Sus scrofa: one gene and its partners. The protein of the gene in region 1 interacts with the protein of each later gene in a pairwise test. Links are inferred from orthologs where the notes say so. Each region holds a gene or a part of one and is shown in the gene's direction. Other genes may lie near its edges.

Region 1 (6,559 bases):
GAGACAGGGAACCCAGTCTGGCCTGAGAGACATGCAGAGAATCAGAGTGAACAGGACAGAAAGTCCAGCAACTTCTTCCCCCAGCCCAGCGAGGCCTTTGGCTTACTCAGCTTTGTCCAACAGTCGTGGCTGCCCTGTTCATCAATCCATTTGTCAAACACTTACTGAGCATCTGCTATCCACCAGGTACCATTCTAAATGCTACTAGGAATGCAGAGGAGGACAATCCAGATAAGGTCCCTGCATCAGGAATCTCAGGTTTTAGGAGGAAACAGATGGCAAACAAGGAAGTGAGATAATTTCTGATAATGATAAGTGCTATGAAGAAAATGAAACAGTGTTAGAAGACAGGGAATTACTGGACAGTGGGGAGTGGGTAGTGAGAAGGGGCACCTTTAGCTTAAAAAGCTAGGGAAGGCTCCAAAGATGCAGGATTTGACATGATGATGGAAAAGGGTCTGGGGCAAGAGTGGTCCAGGCAGAGGGCACACGACATTCCACCCAAAGGTGGAAGAGCTTGGCATGTTTGAGAAACAGAAAGGACAGTATGGCTAGAAAAACAAAGGCTAAGGGTGAAGGGAAGAGATGGGTAGGGACCAGATCACATAGCGTCTTACAGGCTGTGGTGGAACATTTAGATTTTACCCAGGGTCAGTGAGAAGGTATCAACTGTATTCAAGCATGATCTACGTGATGGCAGTTTCTTCAGGGCAGGCACCATGTCCTTGACCTTCTGCTGCCCCATAGAGCTGGCATCAAATGACAGTAAGATTTGCTTTGAGCCAACATTTACACATCATGGACCAGGCACGGTTCTCAGGATTCTCTTAATCCTCCGTTCCATTATTATCCTACTTGACGGACAAGGAACCTGAGGCTCCAAGAGGTCACATAGCTTGCCCAGGTTGGACTTTGCCAGGGTTGGAACCAGGATTAGAACTCAGGGAAGCTGGATGCTAATGGGGCTAAAGAGAGGAGAACTGGAAGAATTCATAAGCACTTGAGATGTTCCGCAAATCAAGAAGAACAAGAACAGGTCAAGAAAGTCATGACGGAATGGCATGAGGACGAGACCAGCTGTGGATGAGCTTGGCCTTGCTGGGAAGGGACAAGATTGGAAGAGAAGACTGGGACCCAGAAGGCCAAATGGAGAGGTTCCTTCCTTCCTACCCCCTGAAGAATGGCAAAGACAAGCCTGAAGCTGAGGGCCCTCCTGTCTGAGGCAGGGTCTTAGCAACCCACCCAAACTAACCTGGGGCTCAGAACCCTCCCTGAACAAGTCAGAATCATGTTAAACTTTTGTTTGGGAACAAGAGGGCAGAGATGAGGCCTAAGAACAGGGAGAAGTCTCCTCCTGCCCTCAACAAACACTTTGAGCTCTCACCAAGGTTCAAGCTGTGGGGGGAGTGGGGAGCCATGCAGAGCCAAGGTGAAGAGGAAGAGCCATTGTGCCATGGACTTTACACATATTTACTCACCAAAGTCGCTGTCCAGATGAGGAACTGAGCAACAGAGATGTTGCAGATCTTGACCAAGGTCACCCAGCTGACAAAACAGGATTCACTCCTGAGTCTAACTGGCTCCACTCCCTGCCTGAGCACTCCAGAAACACAGACTTGTTTTCCTGCAGGTTTGCACTCGGCTCCCCAGTCACCTAGCCGCAGGCACAGGGCCTCAATGCCCACATTTCAAACCACCGTTTTGCCAGCACTTCCTTCCTGCTTAGTCTTTTCTGGCTTCCATCTATTTTCCCCTTGTGCCAGTCAGAGCGGTCATCTTTGGGAACTGGGTTTCCTGCCCACCTCCATCTTGAGCCCCACCTCCATCTTGTGCCTTGGCAGCCCCCTGGGCAGTGGTCATGCCAAGTCATTCTCCAGCTGCTAAATTCCAGGCAGCCAGACCCCCCAGGGCTGTGGTCTGGAAGAAGCTGCATCAGGCTGGAGCTGGAATGGGGGAGCTCTCTCTTCAGATGCATCTGTAAATTTAAAAATTCCTCTCTCAGGGTTCCTGTTGCAGCGCAGAGGAAAGGAATCTGACTAGTATCCATGAGGATGCAGGTTCGATCCCTGGCCTCGCTCAGTGGTTTAAAGATCTGGCATTGCTGTGAGCTCTGACGTAGGTCTAAGACAGGGCTCGGATCTGCCATTGCTGTGGCCAGCAGCTGCAGCCTGGATTCAACCTAGCCTGGGAACTTCCATAAGCCACACGTGTGGCCCTAAAAAGCAAAATAAAGTTCCTCTCCCATCCTAAGAGAGTCTGAGTCTGTTCATAGGTGCCCAAGCAATGAGGGGGTCGGATGGAGCTGGGGCAGGTATCCCCCCTCCCCTACTGGCTCCCTACCTTTCCTCCCACCTACCTGGACACGGACACGTGGGCCCGGAATGTGGGGTGGGGGGGTGCTGGTAGGTGGGAGGAAAGGTAGGGAGCCTCTATCCAAGGCCTCAAGTTCACAAAGCGCCTTAAATTAGACTTCTGATGTTATCGCCAAATGAGGTTTTACACAGAGCCATTGTCTGTTCACGTGTTTGAAGTGTTAATGCGCTAAATGTAAACATTGAAAATATACCACAGCTTTTCAATCCTGTTTGGCATCTCACTTTTTAAATTCCAGGAAGCTCAAAAACGGAAGAAGGAAGGTTCTCTGGAGTTTCTGAGGGGCCTTGATGTATGCCCCCAAAGGAAGAACGCGGAGTGGGGGCTAGGTGGAGGGAAGTTGCGCCCACAAAGGAGCAGTAAGTAATAGGGCAGGAGAGGTGTGGGGACCCCAGAGCCCCGCCCTTTCTGCTGAAGCTCCTGAGGGGCCAGAACGCAGCTCCTCTGAAAGAGTCCTATCCGCTGTCCTCAGTTCTCCTCCTCCTGGCAGCAGGAGTGAGCCAGAGTGACGGCGAGGGACAGGCCCGGACTGGCTGAGGCGGCACGACCGGCGGGGCGGCAGCTCTGGGACCCGACGCTCAGGCAGCACGTTCTCTCCTCAGGTCCAGAATCCGTGTCCAGCCCCAGCCCCGCGACCTGCCTCCCCCGCAGAGAGAGGCCAAGCCAAGAGAGTGGAGCGGCTCCGCGGAGGACCCCAGAAAGACGGAAGAGGCGCGCTCCCTCCCACGGGAAAGACAGATGTGGGGCTACTGAAAGGCGGGCAGAGAGGCGCGGGGCAGGCGGGGGAGAACAGGAGCGTGACCGGGAGAGGAAAGCTCTCCGGAGGGAGCGAACCAGACCACCGGGAGGTCCGCCGCGACGTCGGGCAGGAGCAGGCGCCGGGGAGAGGAGCCAGGAGGGGGCGTGCAATTTGGCCCGAGGGTCCTGAGCTGAAACTCAACACCCGCCTTTAGAGGGAACGTCCCCCTTTCCCCTCCGCCCCTTCTCTTCCCCTCCCTTTTCCCCTCCCTCCTTTCTCTTAATCCCTGGGACTGAGCCCCGCGCCGGAGCGGAGAGGGCCCGAGGGGAGGAGAGAGGAGCTGCACTGAGAGGGCGCCGGGAGCCCGGGAAGGGGAGGGAAAGGGAGCTGCGAGCCGGGGGTGAGCCTCGGGGCCACGCGCCACCCCTCCCCCCGGAGCCTTCCTAGTCGTCTCAGTGTCCCCCAAACCCCACCTTCAGGCGAGTCCGCAGGACCCTGGTCCCTGCTCCTCCTTCGCATTCTCTTTGGTCCTTCTTTTGCTTTGTGGCCTTTCTCTCGGTTCCCAGAGACACCTGGGCTGCCCCGAGCCCTGGGGCGCGCGGAACGGCCCCACAAAGGGTGCGAGTGAGCAGGACGAGGGGGCTGGTTCCGAGGGCCAGGGGGCTGAGGGCTGGAGAGGGGCGGGTGGGCCCCTCTGGCGCGTGGGGAAGGCCGTTCCGCCCCTTCGAGCCGGGCCCTCGCGCGGGTGGCGAGGCGCCGTCGCCGCGCCCCCAGATCCCCGGGCGAGTGTGCCTGCGTGGGAACCCGCCTCCCCAGCGGCCGCGGTCTCAGAGCCCTTCGGCGCCAGCCTGGCCTCCGCTCAGCAACTCGGAAGAGTTTAAAGAGGGACGAACGTCTCCGTCCTGATCCCTCCGCCCTCCCTCGGCGCCGGACCCCAGCCCCAGGAGCACCGCACTCCAGGCCGGCTCCCGGCTAAGGAGGGTTGGCTCCTAAACTCGCTCGTCCAGCCCGACCGTCCCGGCAGCTTCTCCCTGCCCTCGGGGCCGTCCTGAGCGGCCCGGGGAGGCGTCGAGGCGCAGCCCCAGCTCCCGCCTCTTCTCCTTTCCCGGCCCTGGAAGGGAGGTTTGGGCCCATGCGGACCCGGGGTGCCCCCGCGGCCTAGGGCAGGCAGCTCCCCGGCCTGGCCCACCCGGCGGCCCCCGGGAGGCCGCGGGACAGTGCAGAGCGCGCGCCCTTGGATGAGGTCCCGCAGCGACGCCCTGGCCCGCCCCGCTCCTCCTCCTGCCCGACCAAGCTGCCTCCCATTTGGGGAGTTTTGTGGGTTTTCTTTTTCCTCCTCCAACCTCCGCGGAGGCCACGACTCAGGCGCCGCTGCTGGGGGCCGCCTCCATGGTGTGGGGCAGCCGCTGCTGAAGTCAGCGAAACAGCCTGGCCTGGAGCTGGCCACGCGGAAGGCCAAGGCCATGGCCATAGCCACGTCGGTGAGTCCACCAGAGAGAGGAGACTGCTGGGCAGAGACCTCCACAGTTTGTCCTGCACTCCTGTCACTTTGATTTCTGCCTTCTCTTTGTCTGGCTCCTTGGTCTCTTGCTTCTCTAGGTGGTTGTGTCCCCCTCCTGGCACTTTGTTTCCCTCACTCCCTCTTACTCCTCGTCCCAAGCTCCTTCTGGGTCTGGTTTCCCCTTCTCCCTTCCCCCTCCCCATCCTCCTTTTTTTCTTTCTAGAGGCTGTGCCTGGAAGGAAGGGAGGGGGCAAGCCTGAATCCTAGCTACTCCTTTGCGGTGGCCACAGGAACAGATGGCCACTGGCTGTTGGCAGGGGCTTGTGATTGAAGGGCTAGTAAAAGGTTAGGAGGGGGATGAAAGAACGGAGATAGCTCCCAGAAAAGTGGGAGAGGCCAGAGGACCCAAGGAGGCCCTTCCCAGAGGAGGGATGGAGGAAAGGGGAAAATAGAGCAAAAGAGGGAGAGTAGTCAGGGAACAAAAAAAAAAAAAGTGGAGGAGGGGAGGTGATGTCAGCCAGCCTCTGGCCACTTTTCTGGGACTGGTGACAAAGGGAGGAGACAGCTGGCATGATGGGACAGTGGGAGGAGGCCTCCCTGAGAGTGTGTGGCCCACTGCCACCCTCCTTTAAGGCAACCAGCCGCTCCCTCACTAGTCAGAGGCCCTAAGGAAGGGGTAGAGCTGGGGTGGCCACACCCCTCATCAATCAGACTATCAGGAACTCTGGCCTGGGTTCCCTCAATTGCAAGACCCGGAGGGTTGGTCCCATTGGACAGAATTCAAACCTGACACTGGGAGGAGCTCTCCACAGCCTCACCCCTGCTTTCTGAATCCCTGCTGCTCTGTGCCCTTTCCACCTTTCCCTCTACCCTGGGATTCCCAGGGAAGGTGAGGGTGCCACCTGCTTTCTGGCTCCCTCTGAATGTGCACTCTAAAAGGAGGGTTGTGAGCCTGGGAAGAAAAGCATGGCTCCTGACATCCTCCCACACCCTTGAGAATGAGTTAGATTTTTCACTCCTTCTCAAACTCCCCTTCGTTTCTCCATCTGTATGATGGTAAGCAGACCTTCACTTAGAGCCAGAGGAGGGGGAGGTCCTGAACAGAGTGGGGTACTCTGACCGGGAGCCAACTGGTCAGCTGGTCAGCACTGAAGTCTCAGAGGTAGATCTTTCTTTTTGTGGGGGTTGGGTACAGGGATGGTATTTATGTTCATGAAACTCACAGGATCCTAATAACAGCTAATATTTATTGAGCGTATTCTGGCCCTGTGCTGGCCCTAAGCTTTGTCCTGTTTGGGTTTTTTTTGTTTGTTTGTTTTTTGTTTTTGCTGCTTTTTAGGGCCGCACTTGCAGCAAGTGGAGGTTCCCAGGCTAGGGATCTAATCAGAGCTATAGCTACAGCTGCCGGCCTGCACCACAGCCACAAGCAACACGGGATCCGAGCCGTGTCTGCGACCTATATACCACAGCTCACGGCAACACCAGATCCTTAATCCACTGAGCAAGGCCAGGAATCGAACCATCAACCTCATGGTTACTGGTCGGATTCATTTCCACTGAGCCACAATGGGAACTCCTGCCCTGGTCTTTTGATGCATTATCTCATCCAGTCCTCACATGAGGCTAGTACTGTTATTATCTGAAAGTGGATATTTGGATATGGGTATGGAATCCTACAAAGGAGGAAACTGAGGCTCTAAGGCTCGGAGAGGTTAAACAAAGTGCCCAAAGTCACCCAGCTTGAAAGCGGTAGAGCAAAACTCAAACCCAGGTCTGCTGCTTTAGAACCATGCTCTTAACCCCGGGCTAAATCCAAAACACCAATTTCTAATTTGCAGTTAGAAAGTGCCAAGTTAACCAGGAATTTGTGCCATTGGCTAGCATGTTCTCTTTCTGTGGCACATCCTTTAGAAACCAAAGTATAATCTGGAGTTCGCTGGTGGCTC
Region 2 (5,370 bases), on another chromosome or scaffold:
CGGGGTTACGAAGTGTCAAGGGTACCATTGGCTGAGCAGAGAGGTTGTGTTTGGGGCGGAGCCTCAGCGGCGCGGCCTCCAAAGGGCCCGGATCCTAGGACGGGGGACAGGGGTGGTGGGGCCTAGATGACCGACACGGAAAGGGCGGGACGTTCATGGGCCGGCGCGGCCCGGGGGCGTGGCCTGAAGGGAGTGGGGCAGTGCGCAGGGGGAGCTAGTGGGACACCGAGGGTCTTCACACCTCTGGCACCAGATGGCCCAGGTCTCGTCAGCGGTCACAGAGTGCACCCCAAAGTGGTCTTTTTAAAGCGGAACCGCTGTGGAGTGGAATCTGGACTATCTATGAAGAGGTTCTGAAGGCGGTTCCACCGTGTAGGGAACATGCATGTGTGTGGCTTCCCCCGCACGCACAACTGAAATGTTTCAGAGGAGGAAGTAGCCTCAGGGAGGGTCACCAAGGAGAGGTGACAGGGAAGCCCAGATCCTAGTGACTGTGAGCAAAGCCGGCCTCTGGAGGAAGGGCCCTGCCTACACAAGGGGGGAGGCAGGGACGCTGGCACAACTGCTGCCACAGCAGGCCTGTGTGCATGGAGGGAAGCCAGTGGGGACAATACTCCAAGTGCTGGCCATGCACCTGTCATCGTGGGAGGGGACACAGCAGATGGGGTGTTCTCAGAGATAGGAAGGACCACCAGCCACGCACACAAGGCCTGGCCCAGGGTGTCGGGGCTGGGGAAGAGGGTGAGGATGGGAGCAAAGGCCAGATAGGGCCAAGGTTGGTAGGCACCCACCTGGCCCACCTCCAACCCCCCAGCTCACTCCAAGGAGCAGTTACCCTGAGCCCTTTCAGGGCATGCTCATCCTGAATGTCCCGGGATTCCAGCCAGGGACACTTAGAATCATCTGAGAGAAGTACCCACTCCCTGCAGATGCGTTTGACCAACATCAACCCCAAGACCAGACCAGACCTGCCTGCTCCTGTCTCCTCAGGGCATGGCCCAGAGAAGATGCTGGACAAAGGGGGCCCACAGCAGAGAGGCCCCACTACTGGTAGAAATGGCAGTCCCTGCCTAACACTGTCCTGTAGGCATGTCCTCAGGGAGCATTCCCCCAGCAGCTGCTGTACTGGATCCAGGCCCAGCCTTCTGCCCCCAGCCCCACACCTGCCCTGGGAGCCCAGCCAGGGCTACAGCTGGGAAGACCACCAGAAGGGAAGTCACAGTCAAGAGTAGAAAGCCCTACCAGCTGTCACCTCCAACCCCTGCAGAGCCACTGTCAGAGACCAGCAAAGTTTTGGATGAGAGCCATACAGGGAAGTGAAAAGTCCACCTAAACCATGCAGGGGGAGGGCAGAGCACCAGCTTCCTAAGCTGCAGTGACCACTGGGCCAGGAGTCCTTGCCCCTCCTGACCACCCCACCCGCCTTCTTGGTCTGCTGTGTGCCCAGCAGACTGCCTGCATGGACACTATCAAAGGCTTCTAGGTCAGGGACATCTCCCCAGCCCCTTCCCCATGGGCTCCTGAAGCCTCCACCTGAGATCACTGCTTCTCTCAAGGTGGCCCTCTCTGCCCTCTTCCTCCCAGGTCCTAGTGACCATCTGCCCTTCTTCCAGTTCTGCTACTACAACAGGGTTCCCTACCCTCTGCTCCATATCTGTAGCCCACCTCAGAGATCCCTAACTTGAGAGCGACTCCCATTTCCTACTGAGCCTCAGACTGATGGGACCATGTACATGCCCTGCATTTCCAGGGATGCCTCAGCTTGCAGAAATCAGCCCACCGATCCATCAGTAGCCCTGGCTCCACTTTGGAGGCTTAGGCAGAACTATGCGCTCCTCTGAGTCCCCTCCTACCTTGGGTCCCAGCAGAGCATGAGGTCACGCTCTGCTGGCCTTCGGTCTGCTGCAGCCCACTGGCCGGCCTCCTAGGGTTCCAAGTCTAAGTGGCTCAGACCAGAGCCTCATTCCCCAGGGCACTCCTCCTTTATGACTTCACCCGCTTAAGTCACCTGGGAGACAATGCCAAAGGTTCCACTCTGGAGTCTTGGCCTCTAGGAGGCAGGGACGGCAGGCCCGACAAGCCCAGAGGACTCTCTGTCCACAGTGTAAATGAGGACGCCACTGGCCCATGTCCTGCAGGGATGTAGAGGGCAGCCTCAGAGGCACTGGGTGCTCCCAGCACCATGGATGACGCTGCCGTCCTCAAGCGACGAGGTTACATCATGGGAATAAATTTGGGAGAGGGCTCTTATGCCAAAGTCAAATCCGCTTACTCTGAGCGCCTCAAGTTCAACGTGGCGGTCAAGATCATCGACCGCAAGAAAGCCCCCACGGACTTCCTAGAGAAATTCCTTCCCCGGGAAATTGAGATTCTGGCCATGCTAAACCATCGCTCCATTGTCAAGACCTATGAGATCTTTGAAACATCAGACGGCAAGGTCTACATCGTCATGGAGCTTGGGGTCCAGGGCGACCTCCTTGAGTTCATCAAGACCCGGGGGGCCCTGCAGGAAGATGATGCTCGCAAGAAGTTCCACCAGCTCTCTTCAGCCATCAAGTATTGCCATGACATGGACATTGTCCACCGAGACCTCAAGTGCGAGAACCTCCTCCTTGACAAGGACTTCAACATCAAGCTGTCTGACTTCGGCTTCTCCAAGCGCTGCCTGCGGGATGACAGTGGCCGACTGACGCTGAGCAAGACCTTCTGCGGGTCAGCAGCCTATGCAGCCCCCGAGGTGCTACAGGGCATCCCCTACCAGCCCAAGGTGTACGACATCTGGAGCCTGGGCGTGATTCTCTACATCATGGTCTGCGGCTCCATGCCCTACGATGACTCCAACATCAAGAAGATGCTGCGCATCCAGAAGGAGCACCGTGTCAACTTCCCACGCTCCAAGCACCTGACAGGCGAGTGCAAGGATCTCATCTACCGCATGCTGCAGCCTGACGTCAACCGGCGGCTGCACATCGATGAGGTCCTCAGCCACTGCTGGGTGCAGCCCAAGGCACGGGGCCTGTCCTCTGCAGCCATCAACAAGGAGGGTGAGAGCTCCCAGGGCTCTGAGCTACCGTGGCCCCCTGAGCCCAGCTCTGACAAGAAGTCTGCCACCAAGCTGGAGCCCCGGGAAGAGGCCCGGCCTGACACAAACCCCGAGGAGGAGGTGCTGCAGATGCAGGTGTCCAGGCAGTCAGAGGCCACGGGTCTGGCCAGCGAGCAGCCCAGTAAGGAGACTGAGGAAGGGGCCCCATTGCAGCCCTCAGAGACACACACTTAGCCAGCCTCTGATGGCCCAGGGGGCCGGCAGGGAACAAGGCAGAGCTTGCGGCTTCCAGCCTGAGCTCCAGAGAAGCAAAGGGATGCCCCAGAGAAGGAAGACAGTCCCAGATGAGCTGCTATTTTCGTCAGTTTCTTCCCCCTCCCTTTGAACTTGGTAACCCACATGGTAAAGAAGCAATAAATCACTATATTAGTGCAGCCCCCTAGGTGGATGTCTTTGCTCTGCTGGCCTTAGTCATCCAAGAAAAGGACTCTGCACTCCCTCTGTTCCCTACTCTTGGACTGCACTGCACTTCACCTCCCTGTGTGTCCAGCCCTGCCTGTGACTTCAGGCCCTGGACCAGAACCAACTGAGGAAGACACTGCTTCAAGAGGGCAGGGTGGCCCATGAGTACCTCATGGTATCTCAGGGCTGGAGAGGGGTGAGGGGGCTGTGGCAGAGGAGGGGTGGGAGACGAGGCCCTCCTGCTAGGGTCCAGCCACCATAACCTCACAGGGCTGCTGGTGGGGAGGGGCTGGCCTCCCTTGGTCTATGTCTCCAGGGCCTCTGCCACCTCCAACCAGCACCTGATGGTGCCCCGAGTCATCCCGCCTGGTGGGCATTCCCCTGCCCAGGAGCAGTGGTGTGGGTTGGAGGGGGGGCTCTGCTGCATGTCCCATGGTCACTGTGTGCCCTGACCATATCCTGACCCCCTCTGGTCCCAGTCTGCCCCCAGGCGACCTCCCTGCCAGAGTAGATGAGTGGACATTGGCTGAGGGAGAGGACAGGTGCCCCCGCATGCATGGCTGGCCCCAGTGCCCTCATATCCACGGAGGAAGTGGGCCTGCATGAGCATCACTGCCTGCCAGGCACCAGGGCTGCCCATCGCTTCTCACAGTTCTTAGCCAGCTGTGTGAGGCAGCCACTTCCTCCCCCTGTCCTGCGCTTACTCTGGACGACCTCATGTGGATCTTCGGGTTCAACATACCCTGAGAGCACAGACCTTCACGCTGACCTCTCCTCCTGCCTGGGTTGGCGTCTGGGGAGAGGGGAGCCCCAGTGAGTGCCCAAACCTGGCCCCCTGGCAGCACCTCCCCACATCAGCCTGCCTCTTTCTTGACCATCTCCCACAGCCACCTCTGTGCCCTGGATTCTCATGGCTCTGTGCTCCCGTGTCCTGACTCAGCCACGACGTAGGCCTCCTTCCCCATCAGAGCCCCTCCTGTATTGCCCGTAGGAAGGGCCCCCATGCCTGGCCCTGAGGTCCTCCCAGCTCTGGCTTTCCAGTCCCTCTGCCCCACACACATGGGCCATAACCATGCTTGCAGACATGTCCCTGCAGACCAGGCCCATCTCTCCAGGTCCAGCCGAGGGGCCATCGCCTCCACACACAAAGCTGTCTGAGTGCCCCTGACAGCAGCCGGCAGGCTGCAGGTGCCCAGGTCCCAGGGTAGAACTGGCCAAGTGGTCTTGGAGGCCCCAGGGGCCCAGTGCTGCAGCTTACCTGGTGATGGAGTGGAATTCTAGATCACATGGGGCCGGCAGGGATGGGGACGTCCTGGGGAGGCTTTTGAGCCTCCTCGCCAGTCATCAATGTGGTCATCAGGATGGCGAGCAAGGCAAGAGGTCCTGGGAGTGACTCTTTGCAGCCCAGCCTGGAGGCAAGGCTGGGCAGGAGGAACCACAGGAAGGAGCACCTACTGTATGCTTTACAGGCAGGGAGATGGCTCTGAGAGGGTGGGTGACTGCCTGAAATCGCATGGTGCAGAGCAGAGGCCCAGGTGCCTGAGGCCTACTCCTCCCCAGGTGGCCTCCAATGTCAGGCCACCATGTGAGCAGCTCCACTGCCCTTGGCCCTGGATCAGACTCCTTCCGGGACCCCCCTGAGGCTTTAGGATCAAGACCCTCAATGTGGCCTCAATGGCCCTCTCCTCCCCACACTCACCATACTGTTCTGTCACACGCATTTAAATCATCATTCTCCTCTGTCCTCCTCTGTGTGGGTTGACCTCAGGCCTCAGCCTTCCCAGCACCCCCAGTTCTGCCCAAGCTCTCTGTCCTCAGAGCTCTGTGTCTCTCTGTACCAGCACAGTCATTGGGTGTTCACACTG
Region 3 (6,031 bases), on another chromosome or scaffold:
GGAACCTTTGGGCAGCACTTGTCGTCACACGGGGAAAAGGCATCCTCTTCAGCCTGCTCTCTGGGGCCCCCTCCCCACCACGACCCCACCTCAGGGCCTAAGCCACGTTCTCAGGCTTTCCCTAGCCCCTCTCCTGCACACCTGGGGGGGCGCCCTCAGCCCTCCCCCGAGGTTGCCATCCCCGGGGCACCTGTCACCCCCACTAGGCACGGTTAGGCAAGCTCCTGGAGGCCATGAATGGGGGGTCTCGGGGTCCCCCCTGTCCCCTGGGAAACCCTCCGGACACAGATGCACTCTCCGGCAGAGCCTGGCCCGCCAGGAGCTGCCCCCTAGGAGGAAGGCAACACAGCAAGGGCAGAGAAGGCTGGCCGAGGGCTGGGCAGCACTCCGGGTGCTGGGCTCCGTCAGCCCACAGGACCGAGTCCTCCTTTGTGGGGTTTCCCTTCCAGCCCAGAGCTGCTTCCCCCATCAGCCAAGGCCTCCTCATGCAAAGCTGACAGATGCAGAGCCGGTGACAATGATGGTAATGCTTCCTGGGCCCAGCCCGGTGCGCCTGGCTTGTATTCACCAACTCCCTTAACGGTCCTCATTTTACACGCGAGGCACCTGAGGCACAGGCGGGACTCTGCCCCAGTCCCGCAGCTCGCACGGGTGGGGGGCTGATCTGACTCCTGACCCCGAACCCAGCCGCCAGGCCCGTGGCCCCCTTTGCATCTCGCGCCCCGGGCTCAGCTCCCACACATCACTCATTAGTCACTGGCCCTCCCTGAGAGGCGGCCCTGCTGTGCCTGCGGGAACCGGAGAGCCAGTGTCATCCAGCAGGAAACTGTCCTCCCCCAGGCCCGGTTCCTGCAGGAGGAGCACGGAATGGTGGGCCAGGGCCTGAGTGTCGCGCAGCCTAACTGCAGAGAGGGACCCTTGCTCTGAAAGGCAGGCCACCTCTGCTCAGGCTTCCCTGCTCCCAGCACACCCCCAGGCAGGCCTCAGCTCCCGCCACCTCATGAGGACAGAGAGCCATGGGGGTCACCCTGGATGCTCACCCCTCTGCCACCCACGCTCAGGATTTTTTTGGTTTTGTTTTTTTCTTTTTAGGGCCTGCAGCACATGGAGGTTCCCAGGCTAGGGATCAAATCAGAGCTGTAGCCACAGCAACGTGGGATCTGAGCTGCTTCTACGACCTACACCACAGCTCTGGCAATGCAGGATCCTTAACCTATTGAGTGAGGCCAGGGATCGAACCCACATCCTCATAGATACTAGCTGGGTTCTTAACCCGCTGAGCCACAACAGGAACTCCCCTCTGGGAGGTTTTACCTAACCCCTCTGCACCCTGGTCTCCAGGTGTGAAATACAGCCTACCTTACAGGGTTGTTAAAGTTTGTGGGTTTTTTTTTTTTTTTTCCTGTCTTTTTGCCATTTCTTGGGCTGCCCGCAAGGCATATGGAGGTTCCCAGGATAAGGGGTCCCGGCCTACGCCAGAGCCACAGCAACGTGGATCCGAGCTGCGTCTCCAACCTACACCACAGCTCAGGGCAACGCCGGATCCTTAAGCCACTGAGCAAGGCCAGGGATCAAACCTCAAACCTCATGGTTCCTAGTCGGATTCGTTAACCACTGAGCCACGATGGGAACTCCCGGGGTTGTTAAAATTAAACAAGGGGATTTGTACCAGGCGCCTGGCACAGCGTACACTCACTGTCCGTTCAGCATCTGTCTCTTGTGCACCTCCAGTGGGCCAGGCCCCGTACTGGCCACCACAGGCTGTCCTGGTATTTCTGATGTCCCTGGTGCAGGCCCCCCTCCGTCGGCTCTCTCCAGGTCACACAGATTGAAAACAGGTCACTCCTCCTCCAGCTATGCCATCCGCGCGCCCGGGCATGTGCAGACACCAAGTGCAGCCCTCCCGCTGCCCCTGTCCCTGTGCTGCAGCCTCTCCACCGTGGGGACCTGGCCTGCCCTCCAGAAGGCCACTTGACCACCACTGCCTTCCCGAGCAACCAAGGGAGCACTCCCCTCCACTGAGCCCCTGCATGTCCCTTCCAGAATTTTTTTTTCTTTTTTTTTTTTTTTTTTTTGTCTTTTTAGGGCTGCACCTCGGCATATGGAGGTTCCCGGACTAGGGGTCTAATTAGAGCTACAGCTGCCGGCCTACACCACAGTCACAGCAACGCGGGCATCCGAGCCGTGTCTGCAACCTACACCATAGCTCACAGCAATGCCAGATCCTTAACCCACTGAGCGAGGCCAGGGATTGAACCCACAACCTTATGGTTCCTATTCGGATTCGTTAACCACTGCGCCACGATGGGAACTCCCCTCCCAGAATATTTTAAGGCTTGATGATCACAACTGACTTTCACAGCTTCCTGCTGGCCAGGTCCCATGTGAGCCCCTGGGCAAGTCACCTTGGGCTTCCGGGACCATCACAGTGCTCCCCCAGACGGGTTGTAAGGGTGGACACTGCAAGTGCAAACAGGAAGCGTTGGGTGTCCTCAGGGCCGCAGCTGAACCAGAGCAGACCGCATTTCTCCTGGATCGAGGGGGAGCGGGTCCTGAGGGCTGGTGGGGGCCGTGGAGGTGTGTGAGGGAGTTGAGGAGTCATGGGGTGGAAGGACAAAGCCAGCCTGTCCGGCGGGCCCTGCAGGAAGACCCTCCCCACCCCTGCCCTGGCGGGGATGGCGGGTCCCCTGGCCTCTGCTACACCGGGTGGCTCCCGGTTGGAGGTGGCCGAGGCCCCTGAGCCTCTCTTCCTCCACCTTCTAGGGACAGAAGATGAGCCTGTCGGTCCTGGAGGGCATGGGCTTCCGCGTGGGCCAGGCCCTGGGCGAGAGGTGAGAGGTGGTTAGGGCCTGAGGTTGGGCCCCTTCCTGGGCGCACCTGGCGGGCGGGCAGAGTGCGTTGCTCCGCACAGGAACAAGCCTGGCTCTCTCCCTCTTCCTCACCCGGGGCCCCCCAACCCAGCCCCGGCCCACTGTGTCTGCTGCCACCCCCCAGGTTGCCCCGGGAGACGCTGGCCTTCAGGGAGGAGCTGGATGTCCTCAAGTTCCTGTGCAAAGACCTGTGGGTGGCCGTGTTCCAAAAGCAGATAGACAGCCTCCGCACCAACCACCAGGTGACAGCCAGGGGATGGAGCCCAGAAGAGCGGGGCGGGGACCCCCATGAGGGGAAGCGGCGGCAACCCCCCCGCCCCGGACCTGCCCAGGCTGGGAGGCAGGCGCCTGGGTTTCCCACGGCAGCCACCGCCCCCTGGGCACCTCTGCACAGTACTCCCTCCGAGGGAAGGCAGGAGGCTGTGGTGGGCGTGGCAGCTATTTCCAGGCTCCCAGGATGAGACCCCCTGGGGCTTGCGGCATCCGGCCTCGGCCTGACAGCCTCGGCCTGACACAGCTTGTCTCGATCTGGTCTGAGCTCCCATTAGGCGCCCACGCCGTGCCTGTGCCCGTTCCCCAGCTGAGCTGGCCGCTCCCCGGGCCTGGGCTGCAGCCACCCACCCGGGAAGTAGCACGACCAGCGGGGGCGGACACTGGGCCCGGCTGGAAAGGTCCTTGTGCCGCTTTAAAGGACAGGCCGGGACTGCAGTGGCTTTGAGGGAAGGGTCCTTCCAGACCTCAGTGCAGCAGGGCTGGGGCACTGGGCCCTTGCTTCCTCTCCCCCCACCAAAGGCACAGGCGCCACCCCAGCCCTCACGGGCTCCTTCTCCGTCCCCAGGGGACCTACGTGCTACAGGACAACAGCTTCCCCCTCCTTGTCCGGATGGCCTCAGGCCTGCAGTACCTAGAGGAGGCACCTAAGGTACAGGTGTGGGGGTGGGTGCCAGGGCCCCAGCCCCGGGCAGCCTCTCCCCGCAGTGGCCCCCCGTGGCCTGGCTGCTGGCCTGCCCTCTCTTCCCTTGGTGACCTGTGTCCCCTTGCCCCCAGTTCCTGGCCTTCACCTGCGGCCTCCTCCGTGGCACCCTCAGCACCCTGGGCATCAAGAGCCTGGTGACCGCCTCCGTGGCAGCCCTGCCTGCCTGTGAGTTGTAGGGGGGGGTGGGGTGGGGGTTCCCAACCCTTGAGTGTGGCCAGGGGCCCCCTACTCCTGGGGCCGGGCCACCCAGCCCCATTTCACAGCGGGGAGTCTTCGGCCCAGAGAGGGTGAGTCACAAGCCCAGGCCACACAGCTGGTGCCGCCCATCCACGCCCCTGCCCCCGCCGTCCCCCAGCCCGGAGGAGAGAACTGTCAACGAAAACCTGTTAGTGGTTTGGAACGTTCTTCCCAGCACGGGAACCCAGGTGACATGACGGAGGTCACCCTGGTTGGCACTGTGATAACGGACTCCAGAGGCAGCCAGGCGCCCGGAACCTGTGGCCCATGTGACGGGGCAGCCCCCGGGGCCCCCACAGGGCCCTCTGTCAGACAAGCCGAGGCCCCATCCTTAGCCAGAGGCGGCCTGCAGCTGACTCTCCAGCCCCCTCTTTCCCTCTGCTGGTCCCCAGGTACACTCATCGCGGGGGACCTAGGGCCTGAGTGGGCCAGGTCTGAGCAATACATGCCATGGACGCCTGTGCCAGGCCCCACCCTGGCGACCTACATGCTTGGCCTTGGTGCCCCCAGTCACCCACACAGCCCTGGGATGCAGGCCAGGTGGGAGGGAGCATCACCCCCTTAGACCAGCGAGGAAACAGGCTGTGGGTGCAGAGCAGGGCTGAGCACCTCTGAGCTGCTCGGGTGCTGCCCGGCCCCTCCGACTCCAGCCTCACGCTAAAGCCAGATCTTCTCTTCCAGGTAAGTTCCAGGTGGTGATCCAGAAAGCCTGAGGAGCCCCAGGCCCCACACCCCGCTGAGCCTCACCCCACCCGGACCCCGGCCGATGCCTGTGGTGAGGGCCAGAGGGCCGGTGCTGGGGAGATGGGGGTCCCACCGCTTCAGGGCATCACAGGTGCTGAACAAACGGGTGTTGCAGGGAGGTGGGGCATCCCAAGGCAAGAGGGTCCCTGTCACAGTGGGGGCAGGTGTGGAGGGCTGCCCGCATCAGACACGTCCCAATAAAGATTCTGTACGTGGAACTAGATTCATGGAAGATGGGGGGGTCATGCTCAGTGCCAGTGGGGGCGGGGAGGGCATTGGCAAAGCGACCGTGTCACAGGTACTGTGGGGGAGGCAGAGCACCCCGTGTGGCTCCCCAGCCCTCATTTCCTCCCCTCCTGGGTCCCCCTGCGCCCCAGCCTCTGCCCCAGCCCTGAGGCTTGCCGCCTCCGGCCCCGCACACCTGGCAGGGGAGGGCGGCCCCTGGCGCCGACAGCCTCTCCAGCATCAACAAGTCCAGGGCTGCTCTCTGCCCAGCAGGGGCCACGGAAGGGACCTCTCCCTGGGTGCAGGGCCAGGGGCCCCCGGAGCGCTCGCAGGGCTGGGCTGGGCTAGGGGCTGCCAGGACCGAGGATGGATGGAAGCGGGGTGCGTCACTCTCAGCCCCCCCCCCAACTCCCCAACACACACATGCTCCAATACACACTTCACGTGCCTGGCAGACACAGCATCATACCCAGAACAGCGGCCTGGGTGACGGGTCCCTGAGGAGCTCAGCCTCTGCGCGCTCGCCCATCCCCGGCCCCCACCTCCCTGTTCACATTCATAGCATCTGGGGCCCTCCTAGAGCTGGACTGTGCCGGGCTCTGCCACCTGCTGCCTGATGTGGGTAAGTACCCCTGTCTCAGAGCTGAAAACCCAGGCTGGGGTAAACCCCAATGGGAGGAAGGAGGGTCTCCTAGCTTAAAACACCCCCAGCAGGAGCTCCCACTGTGGCGCAGCAGGATTGGTGGGGTCTTGGGCGCTCTGGGGCACAGGTTCAATCCCTGGCCCGGCACCGTGGCTTCGGGATCTGGCGTTGCCACAGCTGTGGCTTAGGTTGTGGCTGCAGCAGATCTGATCCCTAGCCCGGGAACTCCGTATACCCTGCGGCAGCCAAAAAAAAAAAACCCTACCAAACAACAGTGACAACAAAACACCCCCAGCAGGGGCGGGAGGTTCCCCTGCCTCCACAGGGACCAGCACA
Region 4 (6,707 bases), on another chromosome or scaffold:
TTAGTACAAACCTAGACTTGTGCTACAGCACCTGTATGAAGGTTAGTGATTTCAGAGGCTGACAGAACTAGAAAGTTTATTGAGACAGCTCTTGATTCACTCAGCATCCAAGTTCTCAAGAAGCCATGGCACAGTGGAAATGAATCCAACTAGTAGTTCAATCCCTGGCCTCTTTCAGTGGGTCGGAGATCCAGCGTTGCCATGAGCTGTGGTGTAGGTCACAGACACAGCTCAGATTCCGTGTTGCTGTGGCTGTGGTGTAGGCCAGCAGCTGTACTTCCGATTCGACCCCTACTCTGGGAACTTCCATATGCCATAGGTACAGCCCAAAAAAGTAAAAAAAAAAAAAAAAAAAAAAAGCCATGATAGCCACACTCTCTGGGACTACTGTACTGCAAGAGGCCACGTTTTCTGAAGCAGTGACAGAGAACATCAGAGCCCTGCTTGTGTGGGAGACCAGCAACCCCCACCCCCAGACCTGGGTAACTTAGCACCTGTCAGTGGCCCCACCAAGTGCATTACTAGGAGGATTATCTAAGTTAATATTAAAAGCTTGGAAAAGAGTCTGACGCACAGTAACCTGGGTAAATGTTGGCTGCAATAGATACTGTAATTGTGTTACTGGGACCCCCAAAACATTAGGACTGTATTAAAAATCATATTATCAACATTTTCTGAGATATATCTTAATTGCTACTATTAAATAATCTGAACTTCATTAAGGCACATGTATAGGAGTTTAGTTTTCTGCAGGTAAACCATTTATGCTGATCCATCATAGATGAAGGAGACAAGATTACACACACATAGAGTTCGCGCTGTGGCACAGTGGGTTGAGAACCTGACTGCAGTGGCTCAGGTTGCTGGGGAGGCACAGGTCCAATCCCCGGTCCAGAGCAGTGGATTAAAGGATCCGGGATTGCCACAGCTGTAGCTTAGGTCGAAGCTGTGGCTCGGATTCAATTTCTGGTCTAGGAACTTCCATTTGCTATGGGTGTGGCCATTAAAAAAAATTTAGGGAGTTCTTGTCATGGCCCAGAGTTAACAAACCTGACTAGTATCCATGAGGATGCAGGTTCGATCCTTGGCCTTGTTCAGTGGGTTGCCTTGAGCTGTGGTGCAGGCTAGCAGCTGCAGTTCTGATTCGACCCCTAGCCTGGGAACTTCCATATGCTGCAGGTACAGCCCTAAAAATACAAACACACACACACACACACACACACACACACACACACACTCAAATACTTTAAAGATATAGTCCAGGAGTGGAAATTTAACTAAAGTTTAACATAGAAGCAGATACATTTTTAATGAGGTTTTCATCAGATATTATTTATAAACAGGTAGTTTAAACACAATGAAAACTTGGGGATATTCAGGGGGAATGGTTGCATATGAGTGTGCAGTTTGCCTTTTTCCCTTGTTTTCAGAATGGTTCCACTTAGGAAACAAGCTTTTTTCCCAAATTTGCCGATGTCTGCAAATAGTATTCTGCCCAGAAGGGAAGAAAAGAGCTAGTATGATTCATTTGAAGCAAATCTCCAAGAATATCAAAATGGAGTATTTATGGCTGTGAGAGGATTGATTTATCTGCAGAAACAGGTACCACTTCTCCCCCTAAAACCAGGGTCATCCCTTGAAATAGGCTGGCTGGGCAACTGCCTCCTGAAAAAGAGATGAGGACCTCTGACCAGCTCCCACCAGCCCCCAAGTAGCTCCCCACACCCCGTGAGCCTCGCATCCTAGCTGGTCCGAAATTCCTGCCCATGGGGTCAATCCTATGTTTCAAAAATACAGATAACCTGCTTAAAATGAATTTACCTGTGAGAGGAAAGTGTGTGCAACTTCCGTTAGCCTCTTTTAGGGACCTTAAATGGTCAGGTAAGCTCCTGCACCCCTTTTAAGGATGGAAGTAGTCCAGAGGCGATTTTCAATTCGTGCAAAGCGTCTGGCCGACAGAGGTTTAAACTGTAAAGAAAGGACCAGAGCTGGGAGAAAGGACCCTTTGAGGAGGGGGGCCTGATGGGGCCTCCGTGCAGGAGGAGTTGGCTGTGGGCAGAGGGATGGTAGCCTGGCACTTGGTGACGGTGGTGGGCCTAGAAAAGCAAAGAGGAGACGGAATAGTGGGTATAAACCCTACAAACACTATAGTCTTGGCCTACTCATTCTATGAAAATGTGGTGATGAAGCTTTGTTGGAGAAAGTTTGTTTTCAAGAAAAAGCGCAAAGAAAGTAGGAACGAATTAGCAAAACAACGCAGGGTTGCCAAAGCCACGCTGCCTGCTTCAGCCCACCTGAGACCCACCTGAAAATACCCCCAATCTACCCAATTCTATTTAATTCTGACGGTTAACTGCAGTATGCAACACACCAAAAATAATGACAACTCTTTGCACAGTTTCCTTTTTGCAGTTGTTTCTTGCAGAAGTACAGTCCAACTCAGTCAAAGAGTGTATATATGATGCTAAAGTTAAGTTTTCCTCAGTTTGATTTCATTGCTGTTTTGGTTGTTTTTGTGATTGCGGTGCCAATCCCGCCCACTTATTTACTGTAACGTTTCTTTTCTAGAGCCAGAATAGGACAGACTCATATACCATTCTGATCTGGGTGCATTTCTTCAGAAGGTACGCTGTGCTCATGGGAACCGCGGCTGCCTGGGGCTAACGAGGCCAGGCGGGAATCAAGGCATGTGTTTTAACAAAATGTTTTCCCAGGGAAGTCAAGGAAATAAAATGATGGGCGCCAAAGAATACGAGGCTCCTCTAACCTCCCCTTGACATCCATTCCTATCCTGTCCCAGCGGAATTTCTGGTGAGATTCCGCAGACATGCCCTTGATTTGCGCTGATTTAAAGGAGGCCAGGGGGGAAATCGGAGGAAGTGAGGCAGGGAAAGGCCAGATGGGTGGTTTTAGAATTCTTTACTCTGCATTATTTTAGAACGAAATATTTTGGCTGGAGGGTCTTAGGAAATCTGTGAGGAAACTAGAACCAGGCCCCACCCTTGTCCTAAAAATCCTCCCACCTGCTGCTTCTCAGTTACAGGCAGGCCCTATAGTCCTATTTGCTATAGCGAGTGGAAGCTTCTTGCTCACTGACACTTCATGGGGTACAGGGAAGTCTCTTATCACCACGAACACCCCTGATGGCAGGACTGCTGTGGGCCTCCAAGCCATGTGCCCATGTGGAATTTTCCCTGGCTCTCCACCTGGCTCAACTAGGCTCCAGTGGTGGACAGGACAGCAAAGCCCTCACCTGGATGTCACTGTCTGTGGCTTCAGGCTGGTTGGATTGCTTCACCTGCCAATGCCCAGGCTTCTTGACCCTCTTTGTTTCTGAAGTCACCCTGGCCAGATGTGATCTGGATTGGACTCCACCATATGTTGTTCATCTAGCTCATCACAGAGGAATCTACCCAAACCTACCCCCTTCCCCTTGGAAACCTTGAGTAGTTCTCTTACCCCTTCAAGGCAAATTGTTGCAACCTTGGATTGCAAAAGAAGAGATGCCTAAAGGGTACCTTGTAGTCCTTGTACTCATTTCCTGGCATTGCCTGAACAAAGAGCAACAAACTGAGTGGCTTAAAACAAAATAAATCGATTGTCTGGCAGTTCTGAGGCTAGATGTCTGAATTCAAGATGTTAGCAGGGTCACACTGCTTTAAAAGCTCTAGGGAAGAATGCTTCCTTGCCTCTTCCCTGCTCCTGGTGGTTGCCAGAAATCTTTGGCATTGCTTGGCTAATGGCAGCATCACTCCAATCTCTGCTTCTGTTGTCACGTGGTAGTGCTCCTTTTTGTTGTGCATGTGTCTCCAGATCTCTCTCTACTCATAAGGACATCAGTCATTGGATTTGGGACCCACTCTATTCCTCTGTGCTTCATCCTAACTTGATTACATCTGCAAGGACCTTACTTCCACATGAGGTCACTTTCCTAAGTGCTGGAACTAGGATTTCAACATATGATTCTGGGGACACTGCTTACCCTACAATCGCCACTACTGGGCATGGGTCATCTCTGAGCAAGAGGCAGCTTCCATGTGTGCATCCCAAATTTGAAGCACACACTTCAGTCCCCAGATTCAGCACTCACCCTCTGCAGGGGCCATGCAGGGCCGTGGCCTGAGTTCTTACCGCCCAGACTGGCCCACCTGGTCCAGGCTATTTCTGAGTGAGGTCAGAGCATGGAGGACTAATCACCCCTCACTATCATTCAGGCACTTTGGTCCATGTGAACTTTAAACCCACAAGTTTCTTTTTCCTAAGTACTATGACCATCCTATAATAGATCATTCATATATATATATATATATATATATATATATATATAATGATTTTTATTTTTTCATTATAGTTGGTTTACAGTGTTCATTCTTTTTTTCACATTCTTTCTGTCACACTTGGATGCTCTTCCGATCCACACACAGTATTGAGATTATCTTCCAAGGGAATGAGTTTTCCTAAAAGCTCATGGGTTCCCTTGATTGTTCTGAATTTAGAGATTTGCAGAATACCCTGGAGTTACTTATTCCTAAACAGACAATTTATAAGCTCATCAATCTCCATTGAACTTCCCATTTTCTACTCATAGATAACTTTTAAAAGGAAACTTTGACTTCCTCAACTGTAAATTGGGTTGGTTTTAAATGCACATATTTTTCAAGAAAGCAGATCACATATCAGATTGTGGAATTTACTATCCACAATTTACCATAATAATCTGTGTGATATTTTTTAGTCCTCCATCTTCACACTAATTTGACTGTATATCCAAAAAGAGACAGAGACAGAGTCAGAATGAGAGAGAGAAAGTCCACTTTCTAAGTCAGTGCTTAGTCACTGCATCTGACTTTGTGTTAAGACAAAGAGAATCCTACTGAAAAAGTAAATACCAAGAGGCTTAGTTAGGTATGACAGTGCAAGACATTTTATAAATATTTTGATACACAGATACGAGAGAAAGTAATTTATGAGATGGTTATTTTGCATTATGCTATGTTCAAAGCCAATTGAAATTCCTCATTTGCATTAACCATCTGAGCTGTTTTCCACTTGGAAGAATGTTCTAGTCTGCGTTCCAGGTCCTTCCATATTAGGTGGGTAGCATTAGAGCCTCTGTATTTGAATCTGTTCAGATGAGACTGTGTATCAAAATAAGTTCTACGTATAGATAAAGTAAGGTTTTAAATTAACCAATGGGATTGAGTTTTTTTAATCCCTAGCCATTTAAAGAATATGAATACTTGACCATGTAAAAAAGATACAAAAGAGTGAGGAGCATGAGTCATTTTTCCCCAATAGAAGGAAATGACCGTTCAGTGATTTTCATAGGAAAAGTATTCAGTAAGCAGATAACATCAGTTATTTAAAAAATATCAACATGACACTTTATCAGTAACAATGGAATTTGGGTAGAACACTGATGGGCAGTAAGGTCAGGGCAAAGCCCCTTCCAGGTTTCAAGATGGTCCCTACTTGCTCACCTGTTTCGGCAGGCAGGCAGTTGCCTGGGTGCCCAGCTCCAAAGTTGGGCAGAATTTAAAGCCTGGACCTCCTCAAGTCCATGACTTCTGGAGCAGGGCCCTGAGCTAGGCTATTAAGCCTGGGTTCTAGTGGCAAATGGACTATTGCCAACTGGGCTGCAGCAACTCACATGAGGGCTCTCCAACTGTCCTTTCTTAGAGGAACTTAAAAGGGCCTCGCTCAAGGACTTCTTATCAGAAAAGCTGAGTTATCAGTACTCTAACTCATTAAATGCATATGCTGCCTGTATCTGTGAAGATTTATCAAAGCTAAAACATGAATTATTAGTTCCTTGGTTGTCCTGACAGTGTCTCATGAATGAGAGAAGGCATGCTCACAAAAGAGAAAAAAGAGGTGACTTTTATTAAAATTCAACCCACCATTGAGATGATGAAATGAACATTTGGGGATATTTTTCCCCTGTTCTTAAAACAATTTCACAGTGACCTTTTTTTAAAAAAAATTGGGAGTTCCTGTTGTGGCTCAGTGGTAACGGACCCAACTCGTATGTATGAGAACATGGGTTTGATCCCTGGCCTTGCTCAGTGGGTTAAGAATCCAGGGTTGCCAAGAGCTGCTGTGTAGGTTGCAGATGCAGGTCAGATCTGGCATTGCTGTGGCTGTGGCGTAGGCCAGCAGCTGCAACTCAGATTCAACCCCTAGCCTGGGAACTTCCATATGCCATGGGTGTGGCCTTAAAAAAAGACATAAAAATTTTTTAAAAATTAAAAAAAACAAAATTGGAATTACACTGTATTGATTTGCATCTTCAATTTTACTTCATTATTTTGAGAATATTTTTTCATTCATTAAGTATTCTCTGAAAATGCAAGTTAATTGGCTGCACAAGTGGTTACACTGTAAGTAAATTACAACACAACCCAATGGTAACTACTAAAATTTTATATATCTCCTAATCTTAAAGGAGACAGAAATCCTGTTGTATTTTTCCTCACTCCCTAAAAAATTTATGTTAAGTTATACTGTACATGAAACGTTATGGGTTTTTTTCCCTATAAAGTAGATCATGATAATTCTAAAATTAGGCAGAACCACCTGGAATGTGAGTAATTAGACTAAGAAGAAAAAGAAACAAAGTATCTTCCCAGGAACCTGAAGCACTGCATTATTCCTTGCATTTCACAGGCTGGAAACTAGGGATCTGGGCAAACCTTAGATTGGATGAT
Region 5 (6,031 bases), on another chromosome or scaffold:
TCTACTATGCATCCCAGACCCAGCTGGTTACAGACACTGAGGGTATAAAATATTCCTCTGTTGCTTTAGATACCTCGTAGCCAAGGGAGTGTCCATAGCCCTTTGTGTGGGAGGGGTGGGTCTGAAGTCACTTGGACAGCAAGCTTCACATGGTCACTCTGACTGACTCTAGGACAACAGTGAACACACCTTCTGTAGAGGCAAGTATAGGTGTGCTGATTGCCCTTTCTGAATGCAGAAAGCAAAATATTTCTCCTTTACCCCATTCCTCATATGCACACAAGGGAGACAATTCTTTTTAGCCATCTTCAAAGCAGGATGTTTTTATAGTATGTAAAAGTCAACATCAAATGCTTTCTTTTGCAGTTTCCTGACTAAATTTGTGAAACACTTGAGTAAACTGGTGTGCAGACCTTGGATCTGTTTTTGATCATACTTTTTCTGTTGTTGTTTTTATTCATACTTCCAGTTAATTGCTATGTTTGTTTCTGTTTATCCTCACAGTTAATTGCTAGGTTATTGTTTTAGCCTGGTTTCATTTGACACATAATTCAGCTTCTTTCAAAGCACAAAACATCATTTTGATTATCTGTCGTTTTTTTTTTTTTTTAAATCCACATTAAGTAAGGGAAACTGTACGATGGAAAGTCGTGGTACTTCTGAAGCTGGGTGGCCTCTCAGCACTGGTTTTTCCTTTTTCTTTTCAATCTAGTGGCTGAACAGGCAGAATCCATTGACAATCCATTGCATGAAGCTGCAAAAAGAGGTAGGTGTGACTCTTTTTTATTGTGATACACAGTATGGTAAAACACACAGATGTTAATTATCTAGTTTGATGAATCTGACAAATATATACACCCATGTAAGATCAAGATCAAGATCTGGAACATTCCTATCTCCCAGAAATGTTCCCGTCCCAGTTAAATCCTTGCCTTCCCCAGAGGCAGTCTTTGAACTGCCTGCTTTCACTTTAGAGAAATATGTGGTTTTAATTTCCAGAATGCCAGTCCACAAATATTTGGGAGTACTTTACCTGCCATGTGCTTAGTGGCAAGTGGAAAGGCATGGTCTATGACTCCCCGAGCTCAGAGTCTGGAGGAGGAGAGACATGTGTAGCAGATCATTACAAGACCTTGTGATAAGAATAGCAATTGAAGTGTGATAAGAATAGCAATTGAAGTGTGTTTCAATTAAGTAGGCTCTAGAGGCCAGAATGAGTAACAAGGGTAGAGGACGGGGTCTTCTTGGGGGTCCAGCATCTGGGAGAGTTGCTATAATGCAAGCATGTATGGTGAGGATGCAGCAGGGGAGGAAGGAGCACTAGGGATGGGCCTCATACTTGGAACTTTATCCTGTAGATCAGTGGTTGTCCATTAGGCGTAATTCCTCCCTCCGAACTCTAGGACATTTGGTAATGTCTGGAGACATTCTGACTGTTAGCAGTGGGGGTATGCTGGCACTTTTTGGATGTAGGTTAGAGATGTTGTTAAACATCCTACAGTATATAGTACAACTCCCATAACAAAGAATTATCCAACCCCAAATATCCATAGGGCTGCTGTTAAGAAACCCTGCTGTAGAGAATGGAGAGTTCTTGTAAGGCCACATTGAGCTTTCTTTCGTTTAATTTTAGGTCTTTTTTTTTTTAGGGCTGCACCCATTGTATATGGAGGTACCAGGCTAGCGGTCGAATCAGAATGGTAGCTGTCAGCCTACGCCACAGCCACAGCAACAACAGATCCGAGCCTTGTCTGCAACCTACACCACAGCTAATGGCAACCGCCGCATGCTTAACCCACTGAGCAAGGCCAGGGATTGAACCTGCATCCTCATGGATACTAGTCAGATTCGTTTCTGCTGAGACACGACGGGAACTCCAATTTTAGATCTTTTTAAAATCTGAATGTGCAAAAGGAAACCATTGGTTTAGGATTGTGTATAACTAGAATTAAACTAAATTGAAATTATAAAAATTCTTTGTAAACTAGATATTTACAGCATTAGCAAGAGAACTTTAAATTAATAGCTATACTTTAACATATAAGAGCAGCAACTTTAGGTAGGTTATTTGTTTTTTCTGTTCTTTTAAGAACTGAAAATGCTTTTTTTTGAGAGCTGCACATGCGACATATGAAAGTTCCCGGGCTAGGCTGACCTATACCACAGCCATCGCAACATCAAATCAGAGCCACATCTGTGACCTACACCACAGCTCACTGCAATGCCATATCCTTAACACAGTGAGCGAAGCCAGGGAACAAATCTGCATCCTCATGGATACTAGTCAGGTTCATTTCCACTGAGCCACAGCGGAAACCCTGGAAAATGCATTTTTAATATGAATGAGTAGTCTCTGCTTGACTGTCCCCCCCCAAAAGTTCCAGGATTTTACACACAAAAAGCACCTTTTTTTTTTTTTTTTTTTCTTTTTTTCTTTTTTAATAGTCACACTTGTGGCATATGGAAGTTTCCAGGCTAGGGATTAAATCCCAGCCACAGCTGCGACCTAAACCTAAGCTATGGCAATGCCAGATCCTTTAACCCATTGTTCAGGGTTATCCAACTCACACCACCACAGCAGCCCAAACCACTGCAGTCACATTCTTAACCTACTATGCCACAGTGGAGACTCCAACTTTTTTTTTTAAACAGAGTAAAAATAAGTGGACTCATTTAGGCAGCTCTTCCCATTAAAAATTGATATTAATGCTTTCCATGAATAAACTGGAAGTCAAAATGTACCATAGTGAATGCATTACAGGGCAGGTTTTAATTTCAGACTTATTAATCCTTTGCAAATACAAACTTATGCAGGATGAAATTGATTTAGAAGCAAAACAGAACAACCCAGAAATCTGTTTCATGTGTTTTTATAAATGTAAATTTTTTTCAGGCAACTTGAGCTGGTTGAGAGAGTGTTTGGACAACCGAGTTGGTGTTAATGGCTTAGACAAAGCTGGAAGCACTGCCCTATATTGGGCTTGTCATGGGGGCCACAAAGGTATTACATTTTGTTTGTTATCACAAATGTCTGTGCTATTGAAAATGTGCTTCATCTAGGGGAACCAGAATTAGAGAAATGAAAAAAAAAATTGGTTATTCTTTTTAAATCTTTCAGAACATCAGCCAAAAGCCCTGTTTTGGAAGCTCTTTAAAACAGTAGGCAAAATGTGGTTGGTCAGCCTTAGTACATGGACCTCTTTCACTTGAAAGAGTAGAAGCTTTCTTCTCTCAGGCTTGGAAAGCTGACAAGAAAACAGCAGTAATATAAAAACAAACCCCACTGTCCAATCTCATAGAAGAAAGGGGCAGAATTCACTCCTCTAGCTTAGTTTTTCCCAGTTTGATTTTTTTTTTGTTTTAATTTTTTAAAGGGCCGCACCTGTGGCATGTGGCGGTTCCCAGGCTAGGGGTTGAATCGGAGCTACAACTGCCAACCTACACCACAGCCACAGCAACTTGGGATCCAAGACTTGTCTGACCTACACCGCAGCTCACAACAACGCTGGATCCTTAACCCACTGAGTGGGGCTAGGGATTGAACCCCCGTCCTCATGGATACTAGTTGGGTTTGTTACCACTAAGCCACAATGGGAACTCCCCCAGTACTCTTTTAAGTTTAAGATTTAGGGGAAAAATAGTGTTTGCTTGAGTAAGTGATTCAGTTGATAACTTTCTCCATTATAATCAATAATAATGACAAATGGAATTTCTAGATGTATTTTAGCCTGGCCAAGAATCTGCCACACCACTCACTTTTGTCTGCTCTCTGCAACACGCAGAAAATAATCCCAACAATGAGAAACAAAGAACCCAACAAATTAAATAGCATTGTTAAAGGAAAATTTAAACTCAACTTAGTGATAAGACTATTAAGTACCCCAGCAAACATAATATTCCTATCACAGATGTCATGTGAAAATGCAAAAGCCAAATTATTTGAAAAAATTTCCCCTAAATAATTTTACTTTTAGATTCTTAGGTCTTCTATTTACCTAAATGTTGAATGATTTGTTACAAGGATTTTCTTAAGATTTGTCTAAAAAGAGTCCTCTCTTTCTCTTTAAAAATTATTATGCCCAGACCTGGTAGACTTTTACTTCCATTCTTAAATAAGATCTTTTCTATTTGAATTTCAGATATAGTGGACATGCTGTTTACTCAGCCAAACATTGAACTGAACCAGCAGGTGAGATTGCTTACACAGAAGACATTTAGCCCACCTGCCTTGCTTTTCTGGTACAGCTTCTGGGTGTGTAAAATTCTATCTTGGTGTCTTGAACTCGCTTTTTTTTTTTTTTTTTTTTTGTCTTTTGTCACTTTAGGGCCACACCTGCAGCATATGGAGGTTCCCAGGCTAGGGACTGAATCAGACCTGTAGCCACTGGCCTATACCACAGCTCATGGCAATACCGGATCCTTAACCCACTGAGCGAGGCCAGGATCGAACCCGCAACTTCATGGTTCTTAGTTGGATTCGTTACTGCTGCGCCACGACGGGAACTCCTCCTTCATAAAATTTTTAAGCAAAATACTATAAGCACATAGTTAAAAAGTTATTGTACGAAGTCCAAATTGTATAAAGCCCCAAATGCCTGCCTTACTTCTCATCTATATCACTTTCAGCTTTTAGCTCTTTCTTCTCACCTTCATGCTACTAAGGAATGTGCTTATGGAGCTGTCTCATAATTCATTATCTTCATAAGTATTTTGACATTCTCTCTGGTAGGTGATGGTTTAAGCTTGTCAACTGCCCAGCTGTCTCCCAGCACCCACCACCCAATCTTTCCTCCTTTGGTCTTCCTAATGAATCATCATAGTTTTGGTTATATTACTATATAATGCTTATAGTATTATGAATATTTAAATATCATCCATTGCTTGTTAAATGTTTTTGTTTCTGTATTTATTGATTTTTATTTAACTTTTTTTGGTATCTCACAATGACTTCTATACTGTTTTTATACTCTCTTTTGATATATCTTTCTAAAATGTAAATTATAATCAGTTGCTTTCTCTTTTTTTCTGCTTGGAATCAGACTTCCTGAAGCCCTCTCTCTTCATTCTCTAATTGAAGCAATTCGGTCTCTATTGCCCTTTGCTGTTTTCCTGGCAAACCCTTTACCTCCTTGTTGTGTTGTATCTTCACTTTTCTGGATCCCGTGTCTTCCTGTTGTTGAAAAGTACCATCAAGTAGATTCCTGAGAAAGGGGAGCCTGGGGTTGACTATTTGGCTGATGGAATTCTAGGTTGAAAATGACTTCCCTAGAATTTGGCAGGCCTGGCTCCAAGTTATTCTAGTTCCCAGGGTTGCTTTTGAGATGTTTGATGCCATTTTGAGTCCCATTGTTTTGTGCATAATCTGCTTTTCCTCTTGATTAGAGTTTTATTCTATCCTTGGTGTTCTAAACTTTCACAGTGATGTGCTTGGGCATGAGTCTTTTGCTGATAATTCTGGTGAACTCTTTCAGCCTGGAAAAATATCTTGTATTATTTCTTTTATAGTTTTATCTGTTTCCTTTGTTCTTTGGTTCTGGAATGCCCATTAGTAGCTATGTTGGCACTCTCAGATTGAGCCTCTAGTTTTTCTCAGAGATTTTCTCACCCTTTTGTTTTGGTCACCTTTTTCATTCCCCAGAGCTCTGTGTTAGATTTCTGTTGCTGTGTAACAAATTATCACAAATTTAGCAGCTTAGAACTAAACCTGTTTACCTTGTACTTTCTGTAAGCCAGAATTCTGGGTAGCCTAGCTAGGTTTTCTGCTCAGGGTCCCACAGATTGGGATCCAGGTTTTGGCTGGAGTGAAGTTCTCATGTGGAGCTTAGCTCCTATTCCAAGTTCATTCACATTGCTGGGAGTATTGTGTTTCTTATACTTGTGGTGCTGAGGCCCTCAGCTTTCAGAGATCACCTCTCCTGACAGTTCGCAGCATGGCTGTTTGCATTCTTCCACAATGCCAACAGGAGATTATGTTGCTAATGCTATGCCTTTTTTTTTTTTTTTTTTTTTAAGGGCCAGACCAGAGGCATAT

Evidence for each region.
Region 2: the proteins of EFS (region 1) and TSSK1B interact in binary tests that used the Homo sapiens proteins (3 or more experiments, as listed by UniProt). The two-hybrid records come from large-scale screens. The link is inferred for Sus scrofa from reciprocal best matches to the Homo sapiens genes EFS and TSSK1B.
Region 3: the proteins of EFS (region 1) and TRAPPC6A interact in binary tests that used the Homo sapiens proteins (3 or more experiments, as listed by UniProt). The two-hybrid records come from large-scale screens. The link is inferred for Sus scrofa from reciprocal best matches to the Homo sapiens genes EFS and TRAPPC6A.
Region 4: the proteins of EFS (region 1) and SORBS2 interact in binary tests that used the Homo sapiens proteins (3 or more experiments, as listed by UniProt). The two-hybrid records come from large-scale screens. The link is inferred for Sus scrofa from reciprocal best matches to the Homo sapiens genes EFS and SORBS2.
Region 5: the proteins of EFS (region 1) and OSTF1 interact in binary tests that used the Homo sapiens proteins (3 or more experiments, as listed by UniProt). The two-hybrid records come from large-scale screens. The link is inferred for Sus scrofa from reciprocal best matches to the Homo sapiens genes EFS and OSTF1.

Annotation. Positions count from the first base shown.
Region 1 is NC_010449.5:75,717,858-75,724,416, forward strand, and holds the start of EFS (embryonal Fyn-associated substrate), read left to right. Parts: upstream 1-2,382; 5' UTR 2,383-4,350; coding exon 4,351-4,593; intron 4,594-6,559. UniProt on the Homo sapiens protein: Docking protein which plays a central coordinating role for tyrosine-kinase-based signaling related to cell adhesion. May serve as an activator of SRC and a downstream effector. Interacts with the SH3 domain of FYN and with CRK, SRC, and YES.
Region 2 is NC_010456.5:50,935,703-50,941,072, forward strand, and holds TSSK1B (testis-specific serine/threonine-protein kinase 1), read left to right. Parts: upstream 1-2,182; coding exon 2,183-3,277; downstream 3,278-5,370. UniProt on the Homo sapiens protein: Testis-specific serine/threonine-protein kinase required during spermatid development. Phosphorylates 'Ser-288' of TSKS. Involved in the late stages of spermatogenesis, during the reconstruction of the cytoplasm.
Region 3 is NC_010448.4:51,577,920-51,583,950, reverse strand, and holds the end of TRAPPC6A (trafficking protein particle complex subunit 6A), read left to right. Parts: intron 1-2,763; coding exon 2,764-2,831; intron 2,832-2,994; coding exon 2,995-3,112; intron 3,113-3,708; coding exon 3,709-3,792; intron 3,793-3,917; coding exon 3,918-4,011; intron 4,012-4,764; coding exon 4,765-4,796; 3' UTR 4,797-5,045; downstream 5,046-6,031. UniProt on the Homo sapiens protein: May play a role in vesicular transport during the biogenesis of melanosomes.
Region 4 is NC_010457.5:46,723,341-46,730,047, reverse strand, and holds the start of SORBS2 (sorbin and SH3 domain-containing protein 2), read left to right. Parts: upstream 1-2,568; 5' UTR 2,569-2,624; intron 2,625-6,707. UniProt on the Homo sapiens protein: Adapter protein that plays a role in the assembling of signaling complexes, being a link between ABL kinases and actin cytoskeleton. Can form complex with ABL1 and CBL, thus promoting ubiquitination and degradation of ABL1.
Region 5 is NC_010443.5:228,179,158-228,185,188, forward strand, and holds part of OSTF1 (osteoclast-stimulating factor 1), read left to right. Parts: intron 1-712; coding exon 713-766; intron 767-2,893; coding exon 2,894-3,001; intron 3,002-4,139; coding exon 4,140-4,189; intron 4,190-6,031.